Linked DNA regions of Arabidopsis thaliana. The protein of the gene in region 1 interacts with the protein of each later gene in a pairwise test. Each region holds a gene or a part of one and is shown in the gene's direction. Other genes may lie near its edges.

Region 1 (7,205 bases):
TGTGATCTGAGTTTCAGCTTGAGGAGGCTTCTAGATCTTTCAGATGATCCTTTATGGACTGATGGGTGGCTTTATCTTAGGGTGCAAAACCAACTCGCATTTGCGTTTAATGGTTAGTTTTGAGAATCTTTAGATTTATGAGTGTCCATATTTTTTCTTGAGATCTGAGTATTCTTCTTATATCATGGTGCAGGTCAGGTTGTTCTTGACACATCTTTACCTCTGAGAAGCCATGATTATAGCCAAATCATTACTGTTAGACCACTTGCTGTAACAAAGAAAGCTCAATTTACAGTAAAAGGCATCAATCTCCGTCGACCTGGCACAAGGTATGTTTATATACTCGTTGAAGCTTGACCCTCCATATCTTTTCTGTTGATGCTAATCGCCATTTTTACAGGTTACTTTGTACTGTTGAAGGAACACACTTGGTTCAGGAAGCAACACAAGGAGGGATGGAGGAGAGAGATGATCTAAAGGAGAATAATGAGATTGATTTTGTCAATTTTTCCTGTGAGATGCCTATTGCAAGTGGTCGAGGTTTCATGGAAGTAAGTGTACTTTCAGTTTCGTGCTCTGCGTTTCCTGTTGTTGCAGTGATATCTAAACGTGAGATTTTTGCTGGCCAATAATCTAGATTGAAGACCAAGGTGGGCTAAGCAGTAGTTTCTTCCCTTTCATAGTATCTGAAGACGAAGATATTTGTTCTGAAATCCGAAGACTCGAAAGCACATTAGAGTTTACTGGAACTGATTCTGCAATGCAAGCAATGGATTTCATCCACGAAATCGGTTGGCTTCTACACAGAAGTGAACTCAAGTCAAGACTTGCAGCATCAGATCATAATCCAGAGGATCTGTTTTCTTTAATACGGTTTAAGTTTCTAATAGAGTTCTCAATGGACCGGGAATGGTGCTGTGTGATGAAGAAGTTATTGAATATTCTATTCGAAGAAGGCACTGTTGATCCATCTCCTGATGCTGCGTTATCAGAACTGTGTCTTCTTCACAGAGCCGTGAGGAAAAATTCAAAACCCATGGTTGAGATGCTTCTTAGATTCAGTCCCAAGAAGAAGAATCAGACATTAGCCGGTTTGTTTAGACCCGATGCAGCTGGTCCAGGCGGTTTAACACCGCTTCACATTGCAGCTGGTAAAGACGGTTCAGAAGATGTGTTGGATGCCCTGACTGAGGATCCTGGAATGGTAAATTTGAATTTGATTTCCCTCTTTGACTTATATAAACTCAAAATCTGTTTTTGTCTGATAAAAAATCTTCTTGTTTGGTTCAGACTGGTATTCAAGCCTGGAAAAATTCCCGGGACAATACCGGATTCACACCAGAAGACTATGCACGTTTACGAGGTCACTTCTCGTATATTCATCTGGTGCAACGGAAACTCAGTCGGAAACCAATCGCCAAAGAACACGTGGTGGTCAACATTCCTGAGTCTTTCAACATTGAGCACAAACAAGAAAAGAGGAGTCCAATGGATTCTTCAAGCTTGGAGATAACACAGATAAACCAATGTAAGCTCTGTGATCACAAACGTGTGTTTGTCACAACGCACCACAAGTCTGTTGCCTACAGGCCAGCAATGCTTTCGATGGTAGCGATAGCAGCGGTTTGCGTTTGTGTCGCTCTTTTGTTCAAGAGTTGCCCGGAAGTGCTATATGTCTTTCAGCCATTCAGGTGGGAATTACTTGAGTATGGAACAAGCTAGTAAAACTTCCCTATACCAGACATTGAAAAAGAATCTTCTCAATAGAAGATGTGTTGGTGTGAAATCTACGAGTGTAATTTTATGTAACGTTTAATTATTTTTACTAGAATATGTATCATTCAGCTTTACAAGATTATATGTAATGTAGCTTTATCTGATGTTAAACCCCCGAATTTGTATAACTACGTTTTTGTGTGTTTGTTACATTTTGTACTTTGTCTTTGATGGCAAATCTTGAAGTGAGTGAGAATAACAACAAATCACATAAAACACCAACCAAATCCTTTTTTTCTTTTGACATTTAATCCATCTCGATCAAGTTTTGGGCCGAATCTACGAAACTGGGCCAATTGTAAAATTCGACCCGGTTCAGCTTGGTTTACTCCACTGAAAATGTTGATCCCACCGACTCTGACAGTTGGAGCTTATAAATACACAGACGCATAGATTCATAAGTTCGTTACATCATTTTTCTTCAAATCGCTCTCTAAATTCTTCTTCAATCTTGTTTCATCAACCTTGCTTTCCAGAGAAAAATCGCTCCATAACAATGTCGACGAAGATCATGTTGAAGAGCTCCGATGGTAAATCGTTCGAGATCGACGAAGACGTGGCACGCAAATCAATCGCGATAAACCATATGGTTGAGGACGGCTGCGCCACTGATGTAATACCGCTTCGAAACGTCACAAGCAAGATTCTCAAGATTGTGATCGATTATTGCGAGAAGCACGTCAAGAGCAAAGAAGAAGAAGATCTCAAGGAGTGGGACGCTGATTTCATGAAGACGATCGAAACAACCATTCTCTTTGATGTTATGATGGCTGCGAATTATCTCAATATTCAAAGCCTTCTTGATCTCACATGTAAAACTGTCTCGGATTTGCTCCAGGCTGATTTGCTCTCAGGGAAAACTCCAGATGAGATTCGCGCGCACTTCAACATCGAGAACGATCTAACAGCAGAGGAAGTAGCTAAGATTCGTGAGGAGAATCAATGGGCTTTTCAATGAGAGAGCGGATCATCAAAGTTGTTGATGCAAATCTACGTAGCTGGTGACTTCGTCTATATCGTTTTCTTCTTTAGTGTGTGTGTGTTTTCAGTTTTCTTTATGCTTCATGTAGATTGATGACTAAGACTTCGTCTATCTCTTGTTTGTTCGGTGTGTTTCTTTTGATTTCTTGGTGTGCAAGTCAACCAATGTTTGTATCTTTGCTTTAGAGACGAATCGTTTGTTGGATTTTGGTATGCTAACCAAATCTTAAGATCGATGTTGTTAAGAGTCTTTCTTTTGTTTCTGAAGCAATTCTTGAATATATGTGAAGTCAAATCTTTTTCTCATTTTCTTACTGTAATTGAGTTTTCTAATCCGAAACAGAGTACATGACACTTCAATTTCGATATTCAACTTGGTTATTTTGGTTTATATTCTTGTATCGTAATCAGACCGATGTAAATGGTCAAGATTGAACAATCAAAAAATAAAAATAGTGTGAAAGTTTTACTCTGTAAAGTTTTTGTTCTCTTTGCGACAAAGCAGGGGTTTTCTTTTCATTTTCTCTTAAGAATAAGGTAAACGTTTGCTACTTTTGAGATTATCATCAAATTTGATTTGGGTTATAACCTCTACTCAAGCCTACAACTATATAAAATTCGAGTCTAAAGAAACAATTTGGTGGATTTAATGAAGAAAAAAATATGGGATGATTCGATATGAGGTGCAAAATGCAATCATTATGGTATTAAACAGAGGCAGATATGGTTTGGATTTATTAAAATTTGGCTATATCAAGAGGGAACACATGATAAATTTACGTGACCATAATTACTTTTCTTCTTTTCTTTTGTTTTGAATGACATAAACAAAATTTGTAGATATTTTTCTTGCTTTCGGAGTTTTTTAAAATATGGAATATACACATGTAACGTTTTAGAAAGTTTCCATTTTTTTTTCTTTTTACCTCTTTTTTGTTGGTTCACTCGTTAAACTCTTGTTACAATTGTATTGAATTAGAGCCGTTCATTATGACACGTAGATTCGGATCTGATTTCCTTTTTGTACCGAAATTAGATCAATTGGGACTAGATCCATCAAAAACCCGGTTTAGGATTGGTTTACTCAACTGAATTTTCCTTTTAGGTTAAAATAGTAATTTCATCCATTATGAAAAAAGGCAAGAATTATACCGACTCTCACAATTAGGTCTCTCTATAAATACACACCTTTTGATATCTCTCCATCATCGAAAACCTTGTAAACAAAAATCGCCACCACAAAAAGAAAAAAGAAGGAAACGATGTCGAAGATGGTTATGTTGCTGAGCTCCGATGGTGAATCTTTCCAGGTCGAAGAAGCAGTCGCGGTCCAGTCACAGACGATAGCACATATGATTGAAGACGATTGCGTCGCCAATGGAGTCCCTATCGCAAACGTTACAGGAGTCATCCTCTCGAAGGTGATCGAGTATTGCAAGAAACACGTCGTTTCTGATTCACCAACCGAAGAGAGCAAAGACGAACTCAAGAAGTGGGACGCTGAGTTCATGAAGGCCCTGGAACAGTCGTCGACTCTCTTTGATGTTATGCTGGCTGCGAATTACCTAAACATAAAAGACCTGCTTGACCTTGGTTGCCAAACTGTTGCTGACATGATCACTGGCAAGAAACCAGACGAGATTCGTGCACTTCTTGGCATCGAGAACGATTTTACACCGGAGGAGGAAGAGGAGATTCGTAAGGAGAATCAATGGGCTTTTGAATGATTCTTTAGTTTTCTTTTTCGACGTTAGTGTGCTTTCTGATCTTCTTTATCAAGATCAATGTCTCGTGTTCTTTTTTCTTTAGTTTGTTTCCGATCTCTTGAACAGTGTCTTTTGTTCTTTCTTCTCTTGTGTGTATGTGTGTTTTCTTGATCAATGTGACTTCGTTATTGTCTTTTCTAATTCCTTTGGAGATTTATATGCTTGAGCAATTTTTAAGAACGATGTTGTCAAAAAGTCTTTTTATTTTATTTCTGTATAATCTATAATCGATTTTAATGCTACACTCATTCGATATAAATCTCTTTCAGTAGAACAAGAGTTGTGCTCATTTAGAAGATGACTCTTCTTTTGTTGTTTGCTGGATAAGTTGACTTCTCATAGAACATTCTTCAATCTGCAAAACATATATATATATATATATAAAGATCTTTTAAAACTCTTATACAAAGGAAAAAAAAAGGATGCACGATGATCATAAAAGTTTAAAATATTCTCAACTTATGTAAAGAAAGGTTGAGTACTTGTGAAGCTTGCGTTTTAAGAAGAGCCACAACGCAATTTTCTGTCAATGATCTTTCACTTCTAGCCACTCTTGTTAATTCTGACAACAAACTCTCCATCTCCTTTGCCTGCAAAATGTATTATCAACAAGGATTCTGATATACAGTCAATCTTCAATAGAAATAATAAAACCCTGACATTGATACTATTCTTCTACTAACCTTTGGCATATAGTTTCCAACATTTTGTGTAATGCCGTCAACAATCTTTGAAGCAGCCACAAGTCCATCTCCTAACTGTTTAGAATCAACCTGGTTTTTGACAAGCAAACTCTTAGTTGATACGTACATGCAGATGATTCTTCCTAGTTGATATTACTCATGAGCACAAGATACCATGATATCCCCATCGAGTGGAAGCCGTAATGAAGCATTGGAAAAAGCTTGGATTGTTTGTGACACCGAAGTCGAATACTCTTCTTCAATAGCAGACCATTGCTCCAAACATGGAGTCTGAAATAATGTGAAACATTTTCTCATAAGTCTCATATACGTTTATGTGAGAGTCAATAATATGGAAGTTTAAAGTATCTTTAAGCTTACTTGAGATTCTGTAATCGCGAGAAGAGCTTTAGTTTTCAATAAACGTTGAAGCTCTATGCGTTTCCTTTGCACAGAATCATGTAATTCTGATATCTTGGAACCAAAGGAATGGATCATGGTCTACAAGATAAAACAAAACACCATTAAACATAAACAGAACCTTTAGTTCAAAGATTTTACCATAAAAGCAGACCATCAGAGAAATTAACCTCAGTTTGTGTTTTATGAGTTTGAGTCTTCACTTGTGCATTGGCGTTTGCAAATCTCCATTGGAGGTAACGATTGTGGAGCAGTTTCAGAGAATGCACATCTTCCAATTGCTCTGTAACCTTCCTCTGTTTTTTAGTATCCGCTGGAACCTTGGGTGCCATTGGAGGCAATGGCAAGCCTAAACGTGAAAACGAACTGCTCTCACGAACGTTACAGCTTGAAGATGGTGAACTCACAGATCGATTAAGAGAAGAAGGTACAGGATTGTTGAAAACTTTAAGATGAGTTCTACAAGAAAGTGTTGGAAACTGATCTGAGCCGTTAGATTTAGGTTTCTCCTGAATGTTGATGATTCCTTCTTTCTCATAACAGGCTGATATGCCGCTTAGTTGGAGAAGTCTCGTTGCAGTTGGTAATCTTTGTTGGCTTAGCCGTGATCTAGACGGTGGAGGAGGAACCATTGGTGTAGGAGTTTCGAGCCGGTGAGAATTCTCGTTGAGCGGCTTCAAGTGACTTGGTTTCGATGATTTTCGGCTTTGTGAGAGTGTAAAAGGCGAGTCTAGGCTACGCGCCGCCGTCTCTGATGAGCGATTCTCATCTCCGTCTGCCATTTTTAACTGACGTCTAAGTCTCTGAGCAGAAACAGAGCGTTGAATCTGGTGGTGTTGAAGGTGGTGCTGCTTTGGAGAATTACAAGTCAAAGAGTGGAGATCTCCGGCGGAGGAAGAGGATGAAGTAACCGGAGACATGAATCTGGAACTTACTTCTCTAACTCTTGGCCGCCGCGTTGAAGGCGGAGGAGCCGGTGTTGATGGCTGAATTTGCTTAGGTCCGCTGGTTTTCGCCTCCATAACTTTTTCGAAATAGTCGGAGATTCAAGTGGCCACGAGGATTCGTCACGGTCTTCAAGAGATTATAATTGGATTTTTGAATTTAAGCCAACACTCGGAGAAGAAGATACGTTACGGTTTTTTTTTTTTTGAGAAAATGAGCCGTTGGCTTTTGGTCACAATCTCTTTGTCTCTGTAACGCCACATTAATTTTGTTTTTTCATAGTTATTAAATTAATTAATTTGTCAATTAGTGTAATAGAAAACCAAGCTCTTAAGAAACTTGTTATAGTACATTGAACACGTTCTTTGAAGACAATGAACAGGAATTTCAAAGAGTTTGTAGAGATGAAATTGTTGCAACTGGTTACTATATTTATGTTTTATGTGTCGGGTGAAGATTTCGAAGGCAATGAAAAGGCTGTTTGTTGAACGATTTTGAAGATCTCAGTTTTTTTTTTTGTTTTTTTTTGTTTTTGAAGAAGACTAATTTGTTTTTTTTTTATTGGTTTGGTTTTGTTGCGTGATGTGATAATGTGACTGAGAAGAGTAACAAACAATTCTGTAGATTTCAGAAC
Region 2 (8,735 bases), on another chromosome or scaffold:
AATTAGAAATTGTTACCATTATTGATGATGAAATGGGAGAAAGTCAATAATTTCGTACTTCAATAAGTCAATGATTTTTGTTTATTTGCTATTAATGGTTTCCACTTGGACAATGATGTCATGAGTGATCTAAGTACTCGTAAGAAACTTATAAGTTATACCTTTCATTTTTTTACTAGGTCAGTACCTACTTGTTAATACTTTATGCACACACATAGTTTGGCAATAACTACTAAAACATCTATCTTGGTTACTCGAAATGCGTGGAATATGTTAGATATAGATAATATATATTGATTCTTGATTCTCATGAGCTCGTCTATGTGTGTATGTCGCAAAGACATACCACTCTGTTGGAATTATGGAATAGACACTATCTTCACAAATTCAAGATAATATGTTGCTAAAACTTTTGTTGTCTTCTTCCCAGCTTATATCACACTGACATGTAAGTATGTAACATGTCCGTTGACATATATAATGTTTTCCTTTTTGTTAATCGTGCTTGTCTTTAGGTACAATGACTTTTTAAGTGTTCTTGATTCCTTTTATCTAAGATTGAATTTAAAATATACGCTTCTTTGTCACCCAACTAAAAAACGTATTGAAACAACCAATTCTTAAAATAAAAATAGAGATTTGTTTCCATAGTTGAACTTGCATTACCAAAAAAGAGGCGAAGTAATTATTTTGAATTATTTACCGTTTAAAGAATCAATGTTTGAACTCGAAAAAATTGTATGATTTGTCAAGTTTTTGTCTGATATTAACTACGTACAACGGTACAAGTATCCTTTCTTTACCTTTTCTTATTTATTTACCAGTCTCATCTCTGTAAATGAAAGGTTCCGAGATTCTTACATCACTAGAAGAAGCAATCTCATTCCCAGCTGATGTTGTTTGTTGCTCTCTGTAAGATGCCCAAGTAACCATATAAAGCCCGCAAATGATGAGGATTCCACCCAAAACGCTGCGGAGAGAACAAAAACCAAGGTGTTTATATGATCCAATACAAGAAGACAGAAAGGTTTGTATGTGTCTGGATGAATCAAAGATACAAAGAAGAGTGCATAAAATTTAAAAACCTTCCAAGATAGATCGGGCTGCCGAGGAAAATTGTCGATAAAAAGGCCGATGTTGCAGGCTGAAGAGGATTGTATAGGGAAACCAAAGCAGCTCCAAGAATTTTATTGGACCAAGTCAAGAGTCCATAGTTTAGAGCTGAGGCAAACACTCCCTGAGGAATAAAAACCGAAAAGAAAACAATTAAACACAAACTAGTAAGATGAATCCGTATGTACAGAATCGAGTTCCAATCTTTTTGAGTTCAAGTTCAAATGATTTGAGCTCAAGCTCCAAAACACAAACACACCCAAATAAACATATTACATCTCGGTTGTGAAAACTTACTGCGAATATAACAGCAAGAACCTCAGATTGTGTTAAGCTCCAATCTTTAGGCTCTCTAACAAACAAGATAGCTGTTGTGATCATTATTGATGCACCGAAGAAGTATGAATACGCAGCAACCGAAAGGTAGGCAGGATACTTCTTCAAAACCGGTGCTTGGACAGCGAGAAAAGCAGCCATACACATACAGTTTCCAATCAAACATAAAACTCCAATGTGCCATTGATCAAACCCAAGACCAAGAAAACTAGAGACTAACCACCCATTAAGCTCTGGTTGACTTCTATCAATAATTACACTTTTCACTGAATCTGCTGCATCTTTACCTCCAAACAAGGCTGGACCACGAAACAAAGCCATCGCTATAGCACCCGAAACACAAACAAGAGTACCTCCAACTTTCGTTTGGCCCTCGACTTTCAACAAGTTCACTTTTTCTGTACTGTATACAAAGAAGAAGACCATCAAAAGATTGAAACTTTATATTACAAATTTTCACATTTTACAGTAATGTTGAGGAAACTCATACTCACCCCATCAAGACAGCCAAGAGAAATGTAAAGACAGGGATTGATGGTTGTATAGCAGCAGCATAAGTTGGATTCGTGTAAGATAAACCCATAAGAAATAGTAACTGGTTCCCAAATATCCTATCAAGATTGAGATTGAATGTTGTTATTAGAATCTTTCATTAGCATGATTCAAAAGATAAAGAGATACAAGCTGATTACTTTACCCTGCTAAACCAAGAAAGAAGAGTGAAAAGAAGATGCTTCTATTCATAGGAGGTCTGATCGTTCTACAAGAAATTAAAAGAGCAAATCTTTATCAAAAGACAAATCCAAGTCACACAAAATTGCAATCCATCATTAAACAATAGAACCAGAATTAACAAAGAAAAACAACCCTAATTCCAATTCCAGAGAGATCAAACTATTTGTCTGATTTTGCCGCATATAAACTCATCAAAACAATCAGAAACAGAGACTTCAGAGACTTTAGCAATTCAAGCAAAAGGATAAAGAAACAGAGAGATTTTGAGAAGAAGATAAAAAGGGACCTTTCACGGAAAAAAGCGAGAGGTGCGAGAATGGAGAGAGCAAGAAGATCGCGAAAGACACAAAAAACGAGCTGATTTACACCAACGTTAAGAGCTACTTTCGTAACCACATGGTATCCTCCATTTATGACCTGAACCAATGTCATTGCAGAGTGAGCCATTCGTGTTTCTCTCTCCGTCGCATCGCCGCCGTTTAGGATCGCCGGAGCTGCCATTTTTCTTCTCTACCTCCGAATCGAGGAAGAAGAGAAGGAACACCTGTTGACTAAAGAAATTGAGATCCTTTGATTTGCTCTGTAAATTGTAATTCTAACTTCTCTGTTTTTTCGTTCCAAAAAAAAAAAAAACTTCTCTGGTCATTGTAGTCGTTGGTCTTCTTCAATTTGTTAACTATGATTTTTTGTTAAGTTGAGGCAAAAAAAAATTTGCCAGATTATTTTCTTAAATCTTATACACATTGAAGCCTAACAGATTAACACATTTGTTAAATATGCTCATATATCCTACTTAAAAAATATGAAAATTTTCCACAAAAAATGGTGTAATATAAAAATTCGGTTTACTCGGGTTAAACGGTTCGGTTTGTTCGGTTTTCCGGGTTTTTCGGTTTTCAAAAATTCTGCCGAATTGAACCGAACAAAAATTCGGTTCGGTTCGGTTCGGTACTCGGTTTTTTCGGTTCGGTTACTAGGATTTATAATTCGCCGAAATTAAACCGAATTTTTTTTAATCGGTTAACCTAATCAGTTTAGATCACAATATTAGGCATAGTGGGCTGTTTTTAAAGCCCATATCGGCTTTTGACATTTAAAAACCCAAAACTTTTTTTTTGAGGGACAAGTAAAGTCAAAAAGCCCATGACGGTTTTTAACTTTTCAAAACCCAAATTCTTTTTTTCCAGGGACAAGAAAAGCCCATCACACCCATCTAGGGTTTTGTTTTGTTTTATTTTTTGGAAATGACGGCCGTCAAAGAAAAACAAGGGTGAGATGAAGAAGAAGAACATTGAAAACAGAGAAAATAGATTTGTATTGTGCGGTGGTGAGAAAAGATGTAGAGAACCATGAAATCATTGCCAGAGAAGATCGATGTCGCGGTGGCTTAATAGAATATTTCTGCGAACCTAAAAGGTGGAGAAGAAGAACGAAGACAAGGAGAAGAAGGAGGAATAAGGAAGAATTAGAAGGTTAAAAGATAAAAATGGGTTAGAGATGAGGAGAAATAAAGGTGTTCGTGAAGAGGAGAGTTTAGAAAACAAAGAAGATGAAGTGATAGATCTAGGATTTTTCTGTTTTAAAAGGTATCTCCCCAATCCGAACAAAACCGATCGGTTTTGATGAACCGAACCGAAAAACCCGAAAACCGAAATCAATTTAAAATTCTACCGAACGATTTACAACAGAAAATCGGTTTGAAACCGAAAACCGAAATCGTCGGTTTGTTCGGTTCGGTTTAAACGGGTTATGCCGAACTTCCAGGCCTAATTTTTACAGTGTAATACTGAAGTTGGTAAAATATGCCTTTATTTATGTCGATTAGTGGATCTAGTAATATAACATTTCCTTAAATGAAAAAACTCCTTAAAAAGTAGTTGCTGATCCAATAACAAATGTTCTGTTTTAAGAAAATTTAATTATAGTAGTAGTTCGAACGTCGTTAACTCGTAATAATAATTCAGAAAAATGTTGTTATTTAATCACGTTTAGAAAGCTAATTTGTATTAATGACGCTAACGACAAGGAGGAGGGTTAGTGTTATGGGCTTATTTATTAATATATGGCCCATTTAGGTTATTAGCCCATTTATCAAAATTATTCGGCCCGAGGTCGTCTCCAATCTCACGCCACCGATTCCAAACGCCAACCCTCTCGAGTCTTGTCTCTCTCCAATCCTTTCCTTGGCCGCATAAACGCAACCATCGTCGTCGGAGCTTTGATCTTCACCGACTGAAAAGTATGTCTGTTTCCGATGAGGAAGATGAGTGTTTCGCTCGATTCCTCGAATCAGAAGTCTCATCGGTATAAAAATTTCTCCGTTTATTCAAATTTTCGATTTCATTTAGGGTTTAGTAATTTCTTCTCCATCAATCTTTGAATTTTGTAGCTGAATCTGAAATTCTGTCGAGATTTTCCCGTTCCCCTAGTTTTTTTTTTCATTTTTGATAACTTCAGTTCCTTGATCTGTAAATTTGATCTTATATGCATACATTTGAAATTTTTGAAAAATCACATAATTTTTGTTCATGTTCTTCGATTGATGTCCATTGTGATTTTGCTCTTGTTCAGCGTTGTCCTGTGAAAGGTTAGATTATTTATTGATGCTTTGGTTTTTGTAGGTAGAGGATAAAGAAGAAACGAAAGAACCTGAGGCAAAACGGCAACGTATTGAGAAAGGCGAAACAAAGGCTCTAGAGAAGGATGAAGATCAAAAGGAAAATGGTAACAAAGATAAAACTGATGCAAAGAGAATAGAGAGTGGAGTTTTCACCAATGTTCCTACTGAGCTGTTTCGTCATATTCTCAAGTTCTTATCTTCGGAGGTATATACTATATAGTTCAAACTCGAACTTTATTGATGTTTGAGGATTGCTTTTAAACTAAATTGTTTGAATGTCATTACAGGATCTTGTATCATGCTCCTTGGTTTGTAAATTTCTCAATTTTGCTGCGGCTGATGAATCCTTATGGCGTCGCCTGTAAGCCTCTTCTTGTACCCCTTATTGTCGTTGATAATCTTGTTTTCAAAATCAATACTTTGTATTCAAAAACGATGTGATGATCTTATTGGTTGTTTTTTGTTTATATGCAGGTACTGTATCCGGTGGGGTCTAACTCTTCCAAGTAGAAAGTTACGTGAATCTGCTTGGAAGAAGCTTTATATTGATGTGAGTTTCTCCTTGGTTTTTCGTATAAACTTGTTAGATGTTTCCAAGTAGTATTACATTGCTGAAGAATATACAGTGTTAGTTTGCGTTGCTAGTAGAAGTCAGATCATATATATTTTTAAGTGATTCCTTTCTCTTGTCGAATTTTAGCGTGATGAACAGGACATGATTGAACTTGTCAGAACCTGTCCGTCGGATTTCAAGGAGTATTACGTACATATGCAAGCAGCAAAGAGAAGCCAAGCACCTCTTCCGTCCCAGGTAACTATTTATAATTATCTGTTTATGTTTTAGGACAAATCATCACGTGAAGAATTTTCTCATGTTCTTGTTTGCAATTTTTAGATGGTGGATGACCGGATAATTCTTGACAATACTGTACTTGAACAAGTTTCTCTATGGAAGAAAAGCAAAGGACTTACTGATAAGGCTGTCACTGGCCATATTTGTTTGGGAACCAAATGTTCATACCATCAGATTGACGACGTGTTCATATGCAAAGAGACGGGAAATGTTCATGGTATGTAATGAAATGCTGTAAAATGTAACTTTGTTACTGTGTTTTACTCTAAACTTACATAGTTTTTATGGTCTTTATAACAGTATGCGATGATAACTGCAAGGAAGTAATACTGAGTCCAGAGGGTGACCTCATGGTGTGTACTATCTCAGGAGTTTGTTCTGATACTTTACTTGTACAAACTGAGCCAGACGCAGATGGGTGTTATGAGGAAGAAGCTGAACTAGAAGCTGAAGTATTCACAGATAAAAGCCGATTAGGTACACATCTATCTATCTCTTTCTCATATCTCTCACACACTTCCTTTTCCAAATATTATTTTTATTTTCCAACATAAGTGAACTATTTGCGTCTTCTTTTCATCGCAGCCCGAGCTTTTGAACTTGGCTACAACTGCGATGATGAGCAGGAACTGGAACGTACCCTGAGGTTCTGCTGAGCAAAAGTCTCGACCTTTTGTCCAATTTCATAAGGCCTACTTTCTGTAAGGTCTTCTCTCTCTCTCTCTCTCTGACCTGATTCTGCCTGGGTTCTGTGGAGTTGAAATGAATCAAATGTAGCTCTTGTTTTAATCAGTCAGCTTTGTAACGTATACATATATATCATTGTATGTGATTAACATTGTCCTTAAAAAGTGTTACACCTAGTAATTACGTTCCAACTTTATCAGTAAACCTATTGGTAACTAGTAATTTGCTCCCGATATTGGTTTTCTCATTAATTTTTATAGCCATTCTTTGTTCATTTAAACCATATTACAAATTTGTCCTGGTTAGAACTGATTATGATGACAAATCGATGATTAGTTCAAAATGAAGTTTATAGCAATATATTCTAATAACTATACATCAATTATCACCACTGATGTGTTTGAATGAAAAATGAATTGATAATCTTAATAAATGTTTGATTTTATAGATAAGTATAAAGTATGAATGGATTTAGAAAATTTTAGTATTTAGTGAGATAAGCATAAGCAAAACTAGAAAAATGAAATTATTATTAAATAAATTCATTAATACACATTGGCAATGTGACATTGCCTAAAATCAAATATGTACTAATTCAATTAATGTTAATAAGAATTTTTTGGATTCGATTCTCTTGCGAAAGTGCAAATTAAAAGACATTCTTATCTCCTACGTAAACAGAATCACGCGTCCATTGCGCGTTCTCGCAACGCTAAAATATTTACGTTGGAAAATATTCTCATAATTCTCTCCTTTGCCCCCACAGTTTAATATATTTCATAAACACCCCCACGAGAAATTAAAAACCGTTCCAAATTTGAAAAAATACAACAAACAATTCATGAAAATATTCAATCTATAAGCAAAACATTGGTAGTGTTACATGTGTCGTCCTTCGTGCTGAAAATTTGGATAGCATTGTTAATTATGACAACGTAAGTGTAGCCTGTGATTCATAGTAAAATATAAGGACTAAAAATAAAAATATATCTTTTTTGGAAATCGTACCGCGTAAGAAACATGTATAAATACCTATAAGGTCTTATTTTTTTCTCTTCCAATTTCGTTTCGACATATTTCGCGATTCGTCTAAGGTAAAAAAAAACTCATCTTTTTTTCTTTTAGATCGTTAATTTTTGATCAGCGATTCGCTCTTCTGATCTGTGTTCTTTAAGCTTGTCTTCTCTCTTGATTCGATCTGCTGAAAACCTAGAAATTTTTGATTTTTTTGTTTGTTTTGCTCCATGTGTATGGGTATATTTACGATTTTAACAAAACAAAAATATGAATTGAGGTTTTTTATTTAGCGAATTGGGTTTTAATTGTTCACATTCGTTTGGCTCTCTCGAGGTGAGTGATAAAGTATAGAACTTTCTTATGCTTAGGATCTTAAATTCGAGTTCTTTGATTTACCTGTCATGTGTTATTGATTGATCTCATTTATATTGTGTCTGCTTGATGTTTAAAGCTTGGTGTATGCAATTTGATTGGGTTTACTGGAGATTGATCTGTGACCTAATCAATGAGTGATAACATTGCTGGTTCATCTGATTTCTCATCTGGTGTGTCTGCTCGATTCCCTGAAGAAAGTTTGAAACTCAGGCTTGGTTTGTGCAGTTTGATTGATTTATCTCATTACTTGACTCTGGTGTACTTGATTCTTTGATGAAAGCTTGAAGTTAATGTTTGGTTTGTGCAATATGATTGGGATTAACTGCATTTGATCTCTGACCAAAATCAGTGATTAATTACATTGCTTGGTTATCTCATTACTTGAGTTTGGTGTTCCTGCATGATCCCCTGAGCTTGAAGTTCATGCTTGGTTTGTCCAATTGTGACCTAAATTGATGTTTTCTTGTGGTATCTTTTCGTAGGTTTTGTTACTGATTGAGAAAACATGGGAGGTGACAATGATAATGACAAAGACAAAGGGTTTCATGGGTATCCTCCCGCTGGATACCCACCCCCTGGGGCTTATCCACCCGCTGGATACCCACAACAAGGTTACCCTCCACCACCCGGTGCTTACCCGCCTGCAGGTTATCCTCCGGGTGCCTACCCACCTGCTCCTGGTGGTTATCCTCCCGCCCCTGGTTATGGTGGTTATCCTCCAGCTCCTGGTTATGGAGGTTATCCTCCTGCACCTGGTCATGGTGGTTACCCTCCTGCTGGCTATCCTGCTCATCACTCAGGTACTGTGTTTCTTTTGCTAATGGTTTTTTTCTCCCATGTAGTTTGCCAGTTAAGTGTTGTAATGGTCACTGTACAAACAAGTTAAAATAGGAGAAGTTGTTTATATGTTGTTTTGTGATTGTCTGTATGTTCATTGCTAAAATCTGAGATTTAGTATCATATTTGGTGTTAAATGTCACTTTGGTTTCTTTATTCATG
Region 3 (7,914 bases), on another chromosome or scaffold:
TAACATGATAAGAACCCAATTCCACAATGTACAATCATTATTTCATTCCCTAACCCAAATTTGACAACTTTCTGACAATTCCTATGAGGCAATGCCATAATAGACAAGCAGAGCAAAATCAGACTCATTTTCATCAGAAGAAATAACACTAAAGTTGTCATCTTTAATCTAATCAATGATGATCAATCTCCAAATCTTCATAGCAAAAACCACGAATCTCAAGATGGAACACAATTGCTATAAAAAGTCTCTGAATTTAATACCTCCCCAAAACAATGGCTTGACATCTTCTTCTTCATCATCAAATTCATCACCATAGCCAAACTCAGCATCACCTCTGTAACCAGGCTCACTCCCATACCCAGATTCATTCCCCATTGGATCAACTCCATTAGCAAATCCAAATCCACCAGAAGCTTCCTTCTCTCCACCAGAATCTCGCCGCTCTCTCCGTGAATTCCTCGCCGCCTCACTCACATCAGAAGCCCAATTCGCTTCACCAAAAAGCTCTCCACTTGAATCTGTACCAACAGCGAAAGGCAAATCCGAACAAGTCCCATGAGCACCAATGGAGCAACATCTCCGAGTCCCACTCCGATCACTACTCCGACCAGACACCGATCTCGAATTACGCCGCCGCCGCTTCCTCGCTACTAACCTGAAACTTCCTCTATTGCTGTAATTGGAAGCTGATAATGTCTTCCCTCCATTGTCGTCGTCGGCGAGTGAGAGACGGCTCATAGCTTCGATGGTGAAAGAAGTGGATCGATCGGAGAAGCAAGGGCGTTTGGGAGTAAAGGAGTGAAACCCATTGGTCTGCGGTGGTTGGTCAGATGAGTCTAGGGTTTTGGAGCGGTGAAATGGTCGCCATGAGAGAAGCTGTGAAGTGCATGATTCAATAGAGCTTCGTGATGACTCTAGATGTTTCGGAGACATTGTTAAAGGTAACAACTTTCCAGATCACAAAAAGCGAAAATGAAAAAAGAAAAATCCTTTTGAGTGAATCTGAAATTGGGAATGGATCTGTGTTGTTTTCAAGTTCTTTGAGAATATCGAGTAGTGAAGATTTGGAGTTGTTCTTTTGGGTTTAAGAGCTTTTGATTGAAGATTACGATTTGTTGCAAAACGGGTCAAATGTATTTTATACGGTCAAGACACAATGTATTTTAATACGTACCCGGTCGGTCACGTGACTCACGTGATGATCTCTATGGTATTCGAAAGCCCTAGTCAGATTTCAATTTTCGCCTTTCTTCTTCTCTTCCATCGGAATTTTCTCTCAGGTGATCGGAATCGTTACTGGAATTTTAGTTCATATATAGACGATCAATCAAACCTCTTTAGTTTTCCTTAGGTTAATCGTTATCCAATGAGTTTTTTTTGTGTGTGATCGCTTCTTTGTTTCGATCTATTGACGTTTCGAATCTCAATTTTGATTTTGGTATAGGAAAGAAATAAATGAGCAGCCGTTCGAGTAGAACGATTTACGTCGGGAACCTTCCCGGCGATATCCGTGAAAGAGAAGTTGAAGACTTGTTCAGTAAGGTAAATTACTCGTTTCTCCTAATTTAAGAACTCAGAACTCAGGATCGAATTTTGTGTTATGTGATGAATATGTCTTTACAAGATTTGCATGTGAAAGAAATTGAATGCATCTTCGGAATTGTTGGATTCTGATTTTATTTGGAAGAAGTTTCCTTAAGAATTGTTCTTCCTTATTTTTTTTGAAGTATGGACCTGTTGTTCAAATCGATTTGAAGATTCCGCCGAGGCCTCCAGGCTATGCATTCGTCGAGGTCAGATTTTTTATGCAACCACATGTTTTATAAAGGCTTGTTGTTGATTTTACAGTTAGGCTCTTCGTTGTTGTTGAGTGTTCATGAGTTTTCAAATGTTGGGAGATACTACCACTAATGTTTTGTGATATATGTGATTTAGTTTGAGGATGCTCGTGATGCTGATGATGCAATTTATGGCCGTGATGGTTATGACTTTGATGGGCATCATTTACGGGTTTGTTAATCATCAAATTTCAGAATTTTTACACAAACTTTGTATTGTTGACTGGTAGCCAAACATAATTTATGTGTGTTGGCCATTGCAGGTGGAACTAGCTCATGGTGGGAGGCGTTCATCACATGATGCACGCGGTAGTTATAGTGGTCGTGGTCGTGGCGGTCGTGGTGGTGGTGACGGTGGTGGTCGTGAACGTGGACCATCTAGGAGATCAGAGTACCGCGGTACATATGATATGTTTAGCTTTAGTGTATTCATAAGTTTTAGGAGAAATCACTAAATTAAGATTTTCCACTATACAGTTGTAGTGTCAGGTTTGCCTTCATCTGCGTCCTGGCAAGACCTCAAGGTGATTACACAGTTGTGGACAGATTCCTCATTGTCGTTCCTATATTTTCTACGATTTCTGAATGTTGACATATCACTTTGTTTTGAAGGATCACATGCGTAAAGGAGGAGAAGTTTGTTTTTCTCAAGTGTTTCGTGATGGTAGAGGTAAATCCTCATGTCTTACCCAAGAATAGAGATGTGTCTAAAGCTGTTTGGGTTTTCTGCCTTTAAATCCTGTTTTAACTAGTCTGTGCATGCTTTAAAAAATCTATATCGTGGACTATTTATTTACAGGTACAACTGGAATTGTAGATTATACCAGCTACGAGGACATGAAATATGCGGTGAGATGTTTTTCTTCCTCTTCATATTATTTGATTTTCTGTGTGGGACTGTGGCTGAGAATGTGTTCATCCTTGATTACTCATGATTATATTCTTTATTTTGTCCAGATAAAAAAAGCTCGATGACACAGAGTTTCGGAATGCGTTTTCTCATGAATATGTTCGGGTATGTTAAAGACAAGAATTCTGAGAGCTGCATTCGTTTTTATTGCACTTAACATTTCCCTATGTCATTACAGGTTAGAGAATATGATTCAAGGAGGGATTCGAGGAGCCCCAGCCGTGGAAGATCCTATTCTAAGAGCCGCAGCCGTGGACGGAGTCCCAGCCGTAGTCGTAGCCGCAGCAGAAGCAGGAGCAAGAGCAGAAGTCCAAAGGCTAAATCTTTGCGTAGATCGCCTGCAAAATCTACATCGAGATCTCCTCGCTCTCGCTCCCGCTCTAAGTCGAGGTCACTGTCTCCACGAGGGTATGCTTCATTTCTTCTATAATGTTTATGCTAAAATATCCAACATAAAACATAACATAGGCTCTATTTAGCTCTTCCCTTGAAGTTTGGTGACATCACATTAAAAGATGTCACTGGGATGACTCCGAGTTGTTGATTGAGAATGATGATTGCTTCTAGTTAAGGGTACACGATTTATTTCCTTTGAAAGTCTGGTCTTTTATAATTATAGTGTTGAGAATGGTTTTGTTTCTTAGATATGGATATACATACAATCAACTAAAATATGGGAAATAGTATCTGGATCATGGATGTCTTGGTTGGTTGTACACAACTGTTTCGTCTCAGAGGTATATGCTCTTTCTTAGATGGGCAAGTTCGTTTTCTGATAATATCCATTGCTGCTAGATGGGTAACAGTGGAGAGACATTGGATCGCATTGATATAGTGTCATCAAAATGGACCCATCGAGCTAGGACAGATATTTTCATTACCTGCTAATCGACAAGCGATCTGGATTCTCATGGAACCGATGCTGTTCTGGACACAGGGTTTGATAGAATTAGATTTGCTTTGATATTCTCCATCTCTACCATCTGTTTTAACGAAAAGCAGGCTTGTGTTGGTTTGATTTTCTGCTAGAAATAGTCTGAAGATATGTTTTTTTCTTTTTTGCTTCTTGTGATTGTGTTTTGATGTCTGACATGGAATGAGGCATCAAGGGTCTTGGTGAAACAGCTATTAAACACGGAAATATTGGATTTTTAAAACTGGATTTGTTTCTCGGACTTTTGCAGATCTCGTTCAAGGTCAAGATCTCCTCTACCCTCTCTAAGTCATCTATCTCTAATACACTTTTTACTCCGCTATACTATCAGCACAATATTTTCGGTTTTCAATCCATACTATCCAAAAGACATGATCTATGTCTAGCTAATTACATTCTCATCATCTGGATTGAATTGTGTGTGTTGCAGGTTCAGAAGGAAGCAAGTAAGAGCCCTAGCAAGCAGCTGAGCCCTATCCGTGGTAGGAGCAAGAGCAGAAGCAGGAGTCCATCTCGGTAATGCACACTCTTTTTAACTTGCTTGGAACATTCTCACTCTTTCTCTGAATCTCTTTCCAACTGTTTTACAGGTAAAGAAACATCTCATATCAGGTAAAAAGCTGGGTCTGTTGGAAGATTCTCATAAAGATGATCTCTCTTATGTATGAGAAGTTGAAAAACTAGTTGTGTATTTCATTCTTATTAGCTTGGGTTTGCACATGGGAATGATATATACTCAGTCATCATCAGTTTATGAGCTAAGCTCAGCTGATTTATATGACTTGCTAATATAGTTAGTGCTTAAAACGAACTATCAAAAATTACTGTCGAATACCAAACTTAATTCAAAAGCTCACAATTCGATATTAAAATTTTGAAAACGTTCACAATAAATGAACCTAAAAAGACATGTGCATTGAACTCATTTTGATACCCGGACCCTTTACATTTTAGTTCAGTCCGTACGATGTCATTTTCGAGAGCTGTTGCGCATTACTTACTTGCCTTTGTGTGGGTGTTAGTGAATCTGTGACCCACCTTAAGAACAGTTAAGACTATTCCCGGTTTACGCGTACCGGACCCATAACAGTATAAGTGAATTTGGATAAGAAAGGAGCCGCCTAGAGAGAAGAAGGCGATCCATGGCGGAATCTGTCTTCTCTTGTATACCAGAAGACGTAGTCTTCAACATCTTCTTCAAGCTCCAAGATGATCCAAGAAACTGGGCTCGTCTCGCTTGCGTCTGCACCAAATTCTCCTCAATTGTTCGAAACGTTTGTTGTAAAACTCAGTGCTACTCCGCTATCCCCACCGTCATCTCCGATCTCCTCCCTCTTCCTCCCTCCGCCGCCGCATCCGCTTCTTCATCCACCGCGGCGGATTCGTCTCTTACTCCTCCCGGTGGTTGGGCTTCTTTATACAAACTCGCTGTTTGTTGTCCTGGTCTCTTCCACGCTGGAATTCTCCTCGAAAACTCCGATTTCGGTTTAGAACGTGAGCTAGGTCCCGATCAAAACCTCGATCCGAAACCTACTACGACGGATCTAGCTCTTAACGACGAAGAAGTTTCGAAACCAGTTGGATCTGGTTTAGAAACGACTTCGTTTTGGTCTCTATATGATGATCTCTACACAGATACTATTCCCGCTCCTCCTCCCGAAGATTCAATCGACGATCAAGAAGAAGAAATCGAAACGAGTGAGATCAGACCTGGACGAGATCTTCCGGTAAGGAAACGAAGGAAGATTTGTCGATCTCTAGGATCTCATTTAGCTTCCGGTGGCTGGAACCTTAGCCGTGAACAAGGCAACAAGCTTCTCGCGAGTAGATTCCGAGGTGATTGTCTCTACATTTGCAATTGGCCTGGGTGTATTCACGTAGAAGAGAAACGAAATTACATGTTGTTTAGAGGAGTCTTCAAGGATTTCAAAAGGTCTAGAGTTTGGAGAACGATAAACGACGGTAATCGGAGTAAGACCTCGGGTTTGAAATGCGCGTTTTGTTTGTGCGATGAGACTTGGGATTTGCATTCATCGTTTTGTTTGAGAAGAGTGTTTGGGTTTCATGATGATGGTGAACCAGTTGTGAGAGCTTATGTTTGTGAGAATGGTCATGTCTCTGGTGCTTGGACTGCTTTACCTCTCTACACTTGATAGCTCACTAGAGAGGACAGGTCTTTCATTCTTCTTCCACGGTCTCAAGTCTCAATCTTGTTTGATGTATTTGTAGGAATAGTGTCATTGTGTTTCAAATTCTGGTTAATGTTTAAGTAATGGTTGAAGAAAATTGGCTCAACATATTGTGGTTGTTTTGTTTCAATGTTGACAACATATTAGACTTCGATTCAAATGCATAAACTCTTACGTCAAAGCCAAAAATTTCAAGTCCAAGAACATTTGGAAACAATATAACCCAAAACAAAAGGTAGAAGAAACTTAAACCAAGATCAAATCCATAGAAAGAAAACAGAGTACCAACAACATTCATATAAAAGAGGAAGTAATTCAGAGGGTTTCATAAACCTGAAAAGCTAATAATACCATATGGTTTTTCATCATCTCTAGAACAGAGTCTTCACTTGTCTTCCTTAACAGATGTTGTTTCTTCTGCCGCTGGTGCCTTCTCTGTCGCAAGACCTTCCTCCTTAACGGCATCATCCTTCTTGTCTCCTGATTTTGCTGTCTCTTCTGCAATTTACAGAAAATGTTTCATTACTTCAAAATTCTGCATTTTGTTGAGGAACAAAGAAACACAAAAATCTGCAAAATGTTTCCTAAGACAGAGTACTTGGCATATCATATGGAATATGAGATACTTCAATAACAAAGTCAATCAACTCTGGCGAAATGCTTTCATTTCAAGGAGGCTGTGACCAAACATAAACGAGAAAGATCTTCAAAAGTATTACCTTCATCATCACTGTCTTCAAACTCTTCCATGCCTCCCATACCACCCATGCCTCCCATTCCACCCATGCCTCCCATTCCACCGAGCCCTTCGAGTCCGCCCATTCCACCCATTCCACCCATTCCACCCATTAATTTCTGCACGAAGCAAGGATCAAGTATGAGGTCATTTCTCAGAGCTAGGTATATCTGAAGCACAAAATGAAGGACAATCAAAAGTTAGAAACAAACCGAGAAATCCATTCCTTCCATTCCTCCCATTCCACCCATTCCTCCCATTCCACCCATTCCTCCCATGCCGCCCATGCCTCCCATTCCTCCCATTCCTTCCATTCCTGCCATATCCATATCTGCGGCACCTAAACATAACATAGAAAACAAATAAGTTAACACATCCTGAACTTTATATAAAGTGCAGAGAGTGTACACAAGAACAGATAATATAAGCGTTAAGATGAATGCTAACCAGCACTGCCTTCATCGTCCTCATCAACCCACTTGTCCCAATCAACCTTGACATAGTGTGGGGGCTTCTTCACACGGAGTAGCTTATTCCACCTTTCCGGCTCTGCTTTCTCAATTATGCAGAATATGCTTCTCTCTCCAATGTTGATTTTGCTTTCCTAAAAGGGAAAAAGGTTAAAAGATTTAAGAACTAAACAGGTAACAAATGAAACAATAAGACCAAGTCAGCCTACAAATTCTCACCTCAACATTGACTTTATCGGCAAGTTCCAGTTTGAGCTCATAAACGTGGTTTTCTGGACCAACTTTCGCAGAGAAATCAAAGACTCCTTCTGGGTCTAGGTTAACCTTGGTATCCTTAGTATCAGCTAATACTACAGTGAGGAAAATCTTCTCGGTAGTCTCAGCCCACTTCACTTCAGGATGACGACTGTAAAATACATGAAAAGCAATCACCTTTTAGACCAAAAACATAACAAAAGAGAAACACCCAAATGTGTATACAAAACCTAAGACACGAAACTGTCACTTGATTCTACACTGAAAACTGAAACTTCATTAACAGAAATATGTCTTCAATCACATTACTATCACAAACATAAACCCTAAACCCTAAATCCAACTGCTCTAAGATTCAGGTCTAAACAAGAAGAGATTGATGCAGATATATTCAGAAACAATTGCTGGCTATAATGTACAGAGAAATTCCGGTACCCAACACAATAAACCCTAACCCCAATTTAAAACCCTAAAATTTTTTTCAGCAGTCATCAGGAATCCAATGAAAGCGTAGCACTAAATCAACCGATTGAAAAAAGAAACCAAGATTCCCAGAGAAACCCATGAGTAAAAATGAAA
Region 4 (8,510 bases), on another chromosome or scaffold:
AGTAGTGTTGCTCCCATACCAACAAAAGCATCATCCTCAACAGTACACCCATGAATGACAGCACTGTGACCTGCTCCGTTTCATTTTACAAACAAAACCTTTAACTAACAATCGTGTAACACAACATAAAAACAGATACTTCAAAACTGATAAATCGCTTTTTAAGGTTTACCTACTGTTACATTGTCCCCAATCAGAGTAGGTAGAACCTTGCCACTTATGTTGGTCTTTGCAACATGTACAAGCGTATTATCTTGGATATTCGTCCCAGATCCAACACTGATGTTATTCACATCACCTGCACAAGTTAGAAACCCAGATTAACATACAATAAGTTTCACAGCTACTTCATGACACATTTTATCGACAGTACAATAAATCTATGTCCAATGATCAGGACAGTAACGTATAACAGCGATACAAGATTATTAGAAGGTAAAGAGAACTTCATTTCCTAAAACTAAACTATGACTACTTTGCACAATATACTGCTGCAAAATTTGGTACTTCTATCGAACCAAAGGCCATTAAGACTTTCTAGAAGTAATAAAGCCTCACCTCGAAGAACACAGCCATACCAAATCGACGAGCCTTTTCCGATCTGAACATCACCAATAACAGAAGCACTCGGAGCCACAAACACATCTTTATCCACCAATGGTGATTTATCAAACACATTCATCAACGTCCGATGCCTCGACACTGAAAACAAACACAAATTTCTCGAATCAAATTTTTTCAATCTAAGCCACAAATTTCTCCAATCAAAGGTGAAGACACAAATTAGAGATAACGAATTGGATCTAGGGTTTCAATAGAGAGTATTAAGTGGAAGGATCTGGAAGCTTACGATGTTCCTCGATACGGTGACTTCCTTGAAGAAGAGAACCAACGCGATCAAGAGCTTGACCAGTTCCACGAATCCAGTTACCCACAGTGTAAATTGCTCGTCCTAGGGTTCCCATTTTTTTGTGATTCTCCGATTACCCAAAGTGTGAAAATGAGAAGGCTTTGTTGTTTTTGGTGTCGCTCCACCAGATAGAGAGAGGTTTATGGAGGCGTATTGATGGGAGGATTTTTTTTTTTAACTCGAGTGAGTTCGTTTATTTTGTTGACCTCTAAATTTTTAGAGTATGGAGTGGTAACTGGTAAGCTAAACCAAACCGAAATTTATTGGTTGGACTTACAGAGATTGTGAATACAAAATCCGGATAGATTCGTTTTGCAATGTAAGGAGATGGAACAAAGCTTTCAGGAGACAAACACAAAAATGAGTAAAATAATTAATATAATTTAGCAAAGAAAATAAAGAGATAAAAATAGAGATATTAGCTTATATTGTGCATTGGATATTGGAAGTATTGCATAAAGCAAAGAAATAGTTTTTAGTATAAGGATTGGAAAAAACATTGTTTGTATCTAAAATGGGGTCAAGAATGTAGAAGATGGAGTTTCTTGGGTGTTTTTCTTGGAGTTATACTAGAAAGAAGTCGGGCAAGTGATATTTACGCGTGGGCGATTTCTCTCTCAAATTTTTTTCTTCTTATAATCACAATCTCTTGTTCCGTCAATAAGTTTTTTCGTTGACTCCAGCGACGAAGAAACCCATTGGGACATGGTGCTTCAACCGTGATCCGCTACATCTTCTCGGCAATTCAATCTATTCAAAATCAAGGGAGCAGTGGAGGGCAAATGCGGCATTAGGGGAGTGCAAGAGGAGCAATTGCACAGGATCCAAAAATTATTTGATCAAAATTAAAGGGTAAAATAAAAAAATTTATCAAATTTGAGGTCAAAAAGATAATTTTGACTAAATCTGAGGGCCATAATAAAATTTTAACTAAATGTAAGGGCCAAACTCAAAATATTTAGTATAAAAGGGCTAAATTTGAAAATTTGTACAGTGACAGAGAATATATTGAGTTGGCCCTGGTGGAGGGGAGAAGATTATGCGAGACACTGTCGGTAAGAGCTATATCGGTGGTGTGGCTTCACGGAGAGGAAGGATGAGACTTCACAGTGAAGAACAAGGGCTGACGGCGGTTAGGTCGGAAGTCTAAAGATTCTGGAGGTTTCATTGGGTCGCCGCTTGATGGGGGAGGTCGACTCCGCTTCGGTGAGGCTTTACCACCGTCGATGGTCTTGAGATCTACTCACTACTGCCGTCAACTCTCTCGACTGAGCTATGAGATTCATGACTATGGCAACCCGGATCGCCTCTTCCTCCTCAAAACTGCTCTACGGTGGCAGGAGGACAACGGATCCTGAATTACCATCTCCGTTCGACGAATCTCGTCTAGGCTCCCCAAAGGGTTTCTGTTCCGGTGAGATTCTGCAATTCTTGGACGGCGGCTCAGATCGTGTTTTACGATATGAGATTAGGATTTTCAACTTTCGGTTTAGATCGGTTTTGTAATAGATGGTTTAGTCTGGTTATATGTAAGTGGATTGAGTCTAAGGGAAAATGTATGAGCCTAAATCCGGAAATAGTCCATTGGACCTTATTTATAACATTGAAAACCATTTTACAAAAAAAAAGATGGAGTCTCTTTTCTTAGGGTCTCCACCTCTCTTTATAGTCTTTTCCTTCCTCCTATGTATCTTTATTTGGCCATTAGGTACATATCTAGCTCATAAAATAACTCTCATAATTAATTCGTAAACTTGAATGGCAAGTTTACTCCTTAAACCATGACCATTAATTCATAAATTTAATCACAAATTAATATCAAGATTTAACCACCTTTCTTATGCAAGATGTACATTCTTTGCTCTGTAAAGTGATGGAACTTGGATGCGTAAGATGGATTTGTCGTGCGCGATCCGGTATCAACATAAGCTTGAGTTCTTTGAGTAAGGTTATTTGCTTGAAGACTAATATTCTTGTAATGCTGTTGGATATGAATTTGGATTAAGTAGTTGCGAGGTGACCTGACAAATACGCCGTGAGAAGGACTTAGTTCAAGTGATTGCGAAGTAAACCCAACTTATGCATCATGAGATGAGCTCGGTTTGAGTGATTTGTGAGGTGGAATCGATATATGTGTCGCGAGCTGAAGAGAACATCGAATATGCTCTTTCCGAGTTGGAGCCTTAATCCTGAAATTTGTAACGAAAGTTGGTTACTAGAGGGGATATTTTGAGCCTTAGGTGGTTTGATGCCACCGACTAATAAAATATTTGCATGATACTTAGAGTATGCTATGAGTTTTTTTGTTTTCATTGTGAGGATAAGATCTCGAAAAATTGTGTCTACAAATGTGAGTATAATCTACCCTTATACTCTGTGAATTCAACTTTTTGGGGTAAGGTTTGTTTTTTTGGAATGTCTATAGCTGCTTAGGAATCATAACTCCTTTTAGTGTTTACTGCTTTTGGCTGAACAATCTATCTTGGATTGTTTCGAGTTACTGTCCTTTTTAGTTTTAAGTGTTGCAGTTTGATGGGTATAAACTTGAAGGGTTTATAGGACGGTTTCAATCTTCTACTACTACTTATGGTTGGTTGATACGTTGGTAAGTAAGAAGCTCTCTTGACATAAGCATAAGATGGAAGCTATAAGTTCAGATGCGAAACTTAGTTTTCGTTTCCTGTTCTTATTGAGAAGTCAAGATGTTTGTCTTTCAACACTGCTGCCAGGGCTTCTACCTTCTCCTTTGGTAGTTGATCTTCTAGCATCCTGATCCTTCTGTTTTGTACATGAACCTTGATTCAGTCTTTTAAAAGTTCATGTTCAATCTTTTTATATAGACGTCTTTGTAATGTGTAATATCATCTCTGTATCATGGATGTTTGTACAATATTTCATATAAATAACAACACCTTTTGGCAAAAAAAAAAACAACATCAAATTCTTGTATTTACTTAGTTACATATAATTCAATTTAACATACACAATAAAATAACCTGATACGTAATATTTCTTATTATTAATTTCTTTGTAAATTTACTAAAAATTTAAAATACACCTTCAAATATCATATTTCGTGCCAATTAATAAAATTTTAAAAAAATCCAGTTGTAATTAACTCTCAAAAAAGCAAAAATTATCAGCTAATAAATAGTTTTACAAAAAAAAAATCCTATTTTGAGTAATTTACTAATTTCAATTGAAAAACATGAGCCGCGCTTAGTCTTTTTCCGTTTTACTAATTAAAAGAAAAAAACCCATCTGTCTTCTCTTTTTCTTCTTCCTCCTCGAAATCATTGCGGTTACTGTCGTCTTCCTCCTTCCTCTCCTCTTCGGAATCGAAGCTCACGACGGCGACAGTAACGGCATCGGAGAGGTGTTGGTGTTGGTGGTTCATTTAACTTAACATTTTCGAGAAGAGAAGGCTTTTAATTTCAAATTCCTCGCTGAATTTTTCTTCTTCTTCTTCGTCTTCATCGGAAGAAGAAGAATCCAAAAACTTATCTCATCTGCAGAAATATAATTGTGCTTCCCCATGGATTTGTCGCTTTTGTTGGTAACAATAATTCTCTCTTCCTCTCTTTCTCGTTTCTCGATGTTTTGTTTATTTAAAACTTTCTCGAACTCTTCACGATATTGCCGGAGAAGCCGGATCCATGCTCTTTTCATGATTTTGCTTTCTCCAATGAATAAAGTTTCTCTTTGGTGAATACTGAGACATTTCTGTTGATTTACTTTGTTCATCATCAGCCAAAACGGAGCTGGGAAATTTCTGGGGGAGCAGATAAAATCAGGTACAAATTAGGGTTTTTGATTTGGTCTCTCAAACTCTCAATTACAGAAATTATAATAGTTTTGTTTGTAGCAGAGTAGCAATGTCATTGAAGAACATAGTGAAGAACAAATACAAAGCTATTGGTAGAAGAGGGAGGTCACACATTGCACCAGAAGGATCATCTGTGTCTTCTTCTTTATCAACTAATGAAGGTTTAAACCAGAGTATTTGGGTTGATTTGCCTCCAGAGTTACTTCTTGATATAATCCAAAGGATTGAGTCTGAACAGAGTTTATGGCCGGGGAGGAGAGATGTTGTTGCTTGTGCTTCGGTTTGTAAGTCATGGAGGGAGATGACTAAAGAAGTTGTTAAAGTTCCTGAGCTCTCTGGTTTGATCACGTTTCCGATTTCTTTAAGACAGGTTTGTTACTCTTGACCAGTTTGTCTTATAATCGATTATCATTGTGTCTAAAACATTGGTTTTGTTTGGCTTAGCCTGGACCTAGAGATGCTCCAATTCAATGCTTTATTAAACGTGAAAGAGCTACGGGGATATACCGTCTCTATCTTGGTTTAAGCCCTGGTTAGTTTTACTAGTTCACCTTAAGAACCTCTTATGAATTGAGTTTGGACTGTTTTATATATCACATTCGTCTTCTTATAGCTCTTTCCGGTGACAAGAGTAAGTTGTTGTTATCTGCAAAGAGAGTCAGGAGAGCGACGGGTGCGGAGTTTGTTGTATCGTTATCGGGGAATGACTTCTCGAGAAGTAGTAGTAATTACATAGGAAAACTGAGGTAAAGTCTTCTTCTTTTTGTTCTATATGATCACCATGCCCATCTATTATAAGTCTTGTTGTGTGTGGTGGACAGATCAAATTTCCTGGGAACGAAGTTCACAGTCTACGAAAACCAACCTCCTCCGTTTAACCGAAAGCTCCCACCATCGATGCAAGTGTCTCCATGGGTATCGTCGTCATCTAGTAGTTACAACATAGCTTCAATCTTGTATGAGCTGAATGTTCTGAGAACCAGAGGTCCAAGAAGAATGCAATGTATAATGCACAGTATCCCGATTTCAGCGATTCAAGAAGGCGGCAAAATCCAGTCGCCAACGGAGTTCACAAACCAAGGAAAGAAGAAGAAGAAGCCGCTGATGGATTTCTGCTCAGGGAACCTGGGAGGAGAATCCGTTATAAAAGAACCATTAATTCTGAAAAACAAGTCGCCGAGATGGCACGAACAGCTTCAGTGCTGGTGTCTAAACTTCAAAGGTCGAGTCACAGTCGCCTCGGTGAAAAACTTCCAGCTAGTGGCAGCTGCTGCAGAAGCAGGGAAGAACATGAACATACCAGAAGAGGAACAAGATAGAGTGATATTACAGTTTGGGAAGATAGGCAAAGACATTTTCACAATGGATTATCGTTACCCGATCTCTGCATTCCAAGCTTTTGCTATTTGTTTAAGCAGCTTCGACACGAAGCCAGTCTGCGAATGAAGCAAAACATATCATATCAAATTATATTCTTCTATTTGCAGTTTGTGTGGTTTAATGTACATACTTTTCCCTCTTGGAGCAATCAAACAATCAGATCTTTTTTTTCATTCTAAAAACTTTAATTTCTTCTTAATTTTTTAATTAAAAGTAATTAACGTTTGGTTAAGGTAAGGTATGTTTTAGTCTTTCATTGGAAGCAAAGAGTCATCACCTTTCCTTTATTACAAAACCCAATCTCTGTTTCATTTATTTTTGCAAAAAGTACAATTTTGAACCTAATAAGATTATATAATGAAAGCTTTTGTGAGAGGACTATTAGCAAGAGCTAATGAGGTCCCAAAGATTCATCAGAGGAAGGTATCGGCCGGTTTTGGTTGCTTAACTTCGCCTCCGCCGCCGGAGAAAGGGTTGGAGAATCTGACGGTGGCGGATGTGCTCTCCACGAAGGATACTGACATTGATACGTGGATCTCGTGCCGTACGAATGACACTGTTTCTGACGCTGTTAAAAATGTTCGTTCAAACTTCTTTCTTTTTCTCCGTTTTTATTGTTTGCTCATCACGTTACACACGCATCAATTAGTACCCATGAAAACGAGATTTTTAAAACAATGTATCAATTTTATGGCATTAGTTAGCTTAATATGTTTTTGGGGTACAATTCTTTACCTTTGGACATTTAAGCTGCCATAAGTCTATAAATCTCGAACTAAAAACTCATACAAGAACTATTTTATTTACTTATTAATGTTAGGTTCGTTGCCTACTCCACGTTGTTCTATGTCCCAGCTAATAAAATAAGACGTGATTAATTTCCACATTCGGTGCAATATAATACCTATATGTAGTTTATGTCAATGTGTCATGTATACACGTATGTATATGTCAAATTGTAAATCAGACCAATGTTTTCGAGATATATTTCTATTTTATGTATAATAAGTAAAGCACACATATTTGTATATTATGTCAATTTGTCATGCATATATAAGATATATGCGTAGACCACTAATCTCGTTGGTCGTGTTAAAAACAAAAAACAGATGGCAAAGCATAATATTGGATCGTTGGTCGTGTTAGAACCTGGAGACCAACAATATATAGCAGGAATTGTCACAGAGAGAGGTATATATAAGCTTTCTTTAATAATGTTCTTTCTACGGAAAAATACCAAAAAAAAGGAGTTATGAATATGATCACCCAATACCTTGAATGTTGTAGTTAACAGTTAAAACACACAATTTATTAAGAAGGGTTCTTCATTTTGTGACTAATTATCATCACAAAATGAAACAGACTATATGAAAAAGATCATTGGGGCAGGAAGATCATCAAAGCTTACAAAAGTTGGAGAAGTTATGACAGACGAGGTCAGAATAAACAAAAGATAAAACTCTCAAGTTAATTTTTCATTTTGTAAATTTTCGTAATTTTAAGTAAAAGAATTGGAAATGATTTTGGCCAGAGCAAGTTGGTTACTGTTTCATCTGGGACAAACATAATCAAAGCAATGCAGCTTATGTCAGGTAATTTACTATATATACTTACATATATATATATATATATATCTAATCCAAATTGTAAATTATGTTTTGAAATTGACAAAAGAAAATTGTGTTTTTTTTAAATGATGTAGAGAATCACATAAGGCATGTACCGGTGATTGACGGAAAGATAGTGGGACTGATCTCTATGGTTGATGTGGTTAAAGCCATTGTGGACCATCAAAATGGAGAGCTCAAACGTTTGAATGAATTCATCAAAGGAGACTATTACTAGTTTAGAACCCTAGAAGAAGCAAAGCTTCAATAATACATACTATCAATAACTATGTAAATACAGTTAATAAAGGACTAATTATTTTAACAGATTCCCTAGTCTAAGTGATTATGAGCATAAGCCGATTACGACTATAAGAAGTTAGCACTTAGCATAAAAACATTTAGCGCTTAAAAACATTTTTAGAGTCAGAACATATTTATGAAACTTTAATTTAGAATATCAAATAGTATTGTCGATTCGATAGTCTACTAAAAACCATAATTATCTTACTAATCACCTTTTAGGGACTAAAAAAAGTTCTAATGATCTTGTAGATAATTCATCCTGTCACCTTTTAAGTGTGATGATTGATGAATGATTCTAACCAAAACCAAAGAATACTAGAAAAGTATTTTCAATGATCGGATTCTTTACTGGGCTCAAAGCCCAATGGGCTTTAATAATAATAGGGTTTAATATTATTATTTTTTTTGTTGGGTCTAAGGGTTTTGTAATTTCGAAGCTTCTCTCTCTCGTTTCTCAATCTGCGATTCACCATTTCTCTCG

Evidence for each region.
Region 2: the proteins of SK13 (region 1) and AT5G45360 interact in a two-hybrid assay, tested with the Arabidopsis thaliana proteins (2 studies listed by BioGRID).
Region 3: the proteins of SK13 (region 1) and EID1 interact in a two-hybrid assay, tested with the Arabidopsis thaliana proteins (2 studies listed by BioGRID, with this or other methods).
Region 4: the proteins of SK13 (region 1) and TLP6 interact in a two-hybrid assay, tested with the Arabidopsis thaliana proteins (2 studies listed by BioGRID).

Annotation. Positions count from the first base shown.
Region 1 is NC_003074.8:22,160,373-22,167,577, reverse strand, and holds SK13 (SKP1-like 13), read left to right. Parts: upstream 1-3,976; 5' UTR 3,977-4,019; coding exon 4,020-4,484; 3' UTR 4,485-4,664; downstream 4,665-7,205. Other genes in the region: SPL12 (squamosa promoter-binding protein-like 12), read left to right, coding at 1-112, 194-329, 401-551, 638-1,204, 1,291-1,722; SK5 (SKP1-like 5), read left to right, coding at 2,273-2,734; QWRF6 (QWRF motif protein (DUF566)), read right to left, coding at 4,810-4,878, 5,006-5,113, 5,207-5,296, 5,381-5,497, 5,588-5,707, 5,797-6,648. UniProt on the Arabidopsis thaliana protein: Involved in ubiquitination and subsequent proteasomal degradation of target proteins. Together with CUL1, RBX1 and a F-box protein, it forms a SCF E3 ubiquitin ligase complex. The functional specificity of this complex depends on the type of F-box protein.
Region 2 is NC_003076.8:18,382,361-18,391,095, reverse strand, and holds AT5G45360 (F-box family protein), read left to right. Parts: upstream 1-4,224; 5' UTR 4,225-4,425; coding exon 4,426-4,488; intron 4,489-4,805; coding exon 4,806-5,009; intron 5,010-5,091; coding exon 5,092-5,165; intron 5,166-5,278; coding exon 5,279-5,354; intron 5,355-5,504; coding exon 5,505-5,615; intron 5,616-5,699; coding exon 5,700-5,874; intron 5,875-5,957; coding exon 5,958-6,134; intron 6,135-6,242; coding exon 6,243-6,313; 3' UTR 6,314-6,607; downstream 6,608-8,735. Other genes in the region: UMAMIT1 (nodulin MtN21 /EamA-like transporter family protein), read right to left, coding at 814-970, 1,086-1,237, 1,411-1,852, 1,944-2,060, 2,147-2,209, 2,471-2,685; AT5G45350 (proline-rich family protein), read left to right, coding at 8,242-8,536.
Region 3 is NC_003075.7:1,067,728-1,075,641, forward strand, and holds EID1 (F-box family protein), read left to right. Parts: upstream 1-4,753; 5' UTR 4,754-4,827; coding exon 4,828-5,838; 3' UTR 5,839-6,052; downstream 6,053-7,914. Other genes in the region: AT4G02425 (LYR motif protein), read right to left, coding at 264-936; SR34b (RNA-binding (RRM/RBD/RNP motifs) family protein), read left to right, coding at 1,459-1,545, 1,731-1,796, 1,939-2,013, 2,105-2,240, 2,319-2,365, 2,454-2,511, 2,641-2,690, 2,809-2,856 and 2 more; AT4G02450 (HSP20-like chaperones superfamily protein), read right to left, coding at 6,260-6,372, 6,594-6,729, 6,823-6,950, 7,058-7,214, 7,300-7,486. UniProt on the Arabidopsis thaliana protein: Component of SCF(ASK-cullin-F-box) E3 ubiquitin ligase complexes, which may mediate the ubiquitination and subsequent proteasomal degradation of target proteins.
Region 4 is NC_003070.9:17,322,383-17,330,892, forward strand, and holds TLP6 (tubby like protein 6), read left to right. Parts: upstream 1-4,173; 5' UTR 4,174-4,445; coding exon 4,446-4,466; intron 4,467-4,582; exon of another isoform or gene 4,583-4,660; coding exon 4,661-4,704; intron 4,705-4,775; coding exon 4,776-5,106; intron 5,107-5,180; coding exon 5,181-5,268; intron 5,269-5,349; coding exon 5,350-5,482; intron 5,483-5,557; coding exon 5,558-6,182; 3' UTR 6,183-6,346; downstream 6,347-8,510. Other genes in the region: GAMMA CA2 (gamma carbonic anhydrase 2), read right to left, coding at 1-70, 173-298, 559-702, 851-965; AT1G47265 (uncharacterized protein), read left to right, coding at 2,186-2,416; AT1G47271 (Cystathionine beta-synthase (CBS) family protein), read left to right, coding at 6,474-6,695, 7,226-7,307, 7,479-7,552, 7,648-7,708, 7,819-7,961.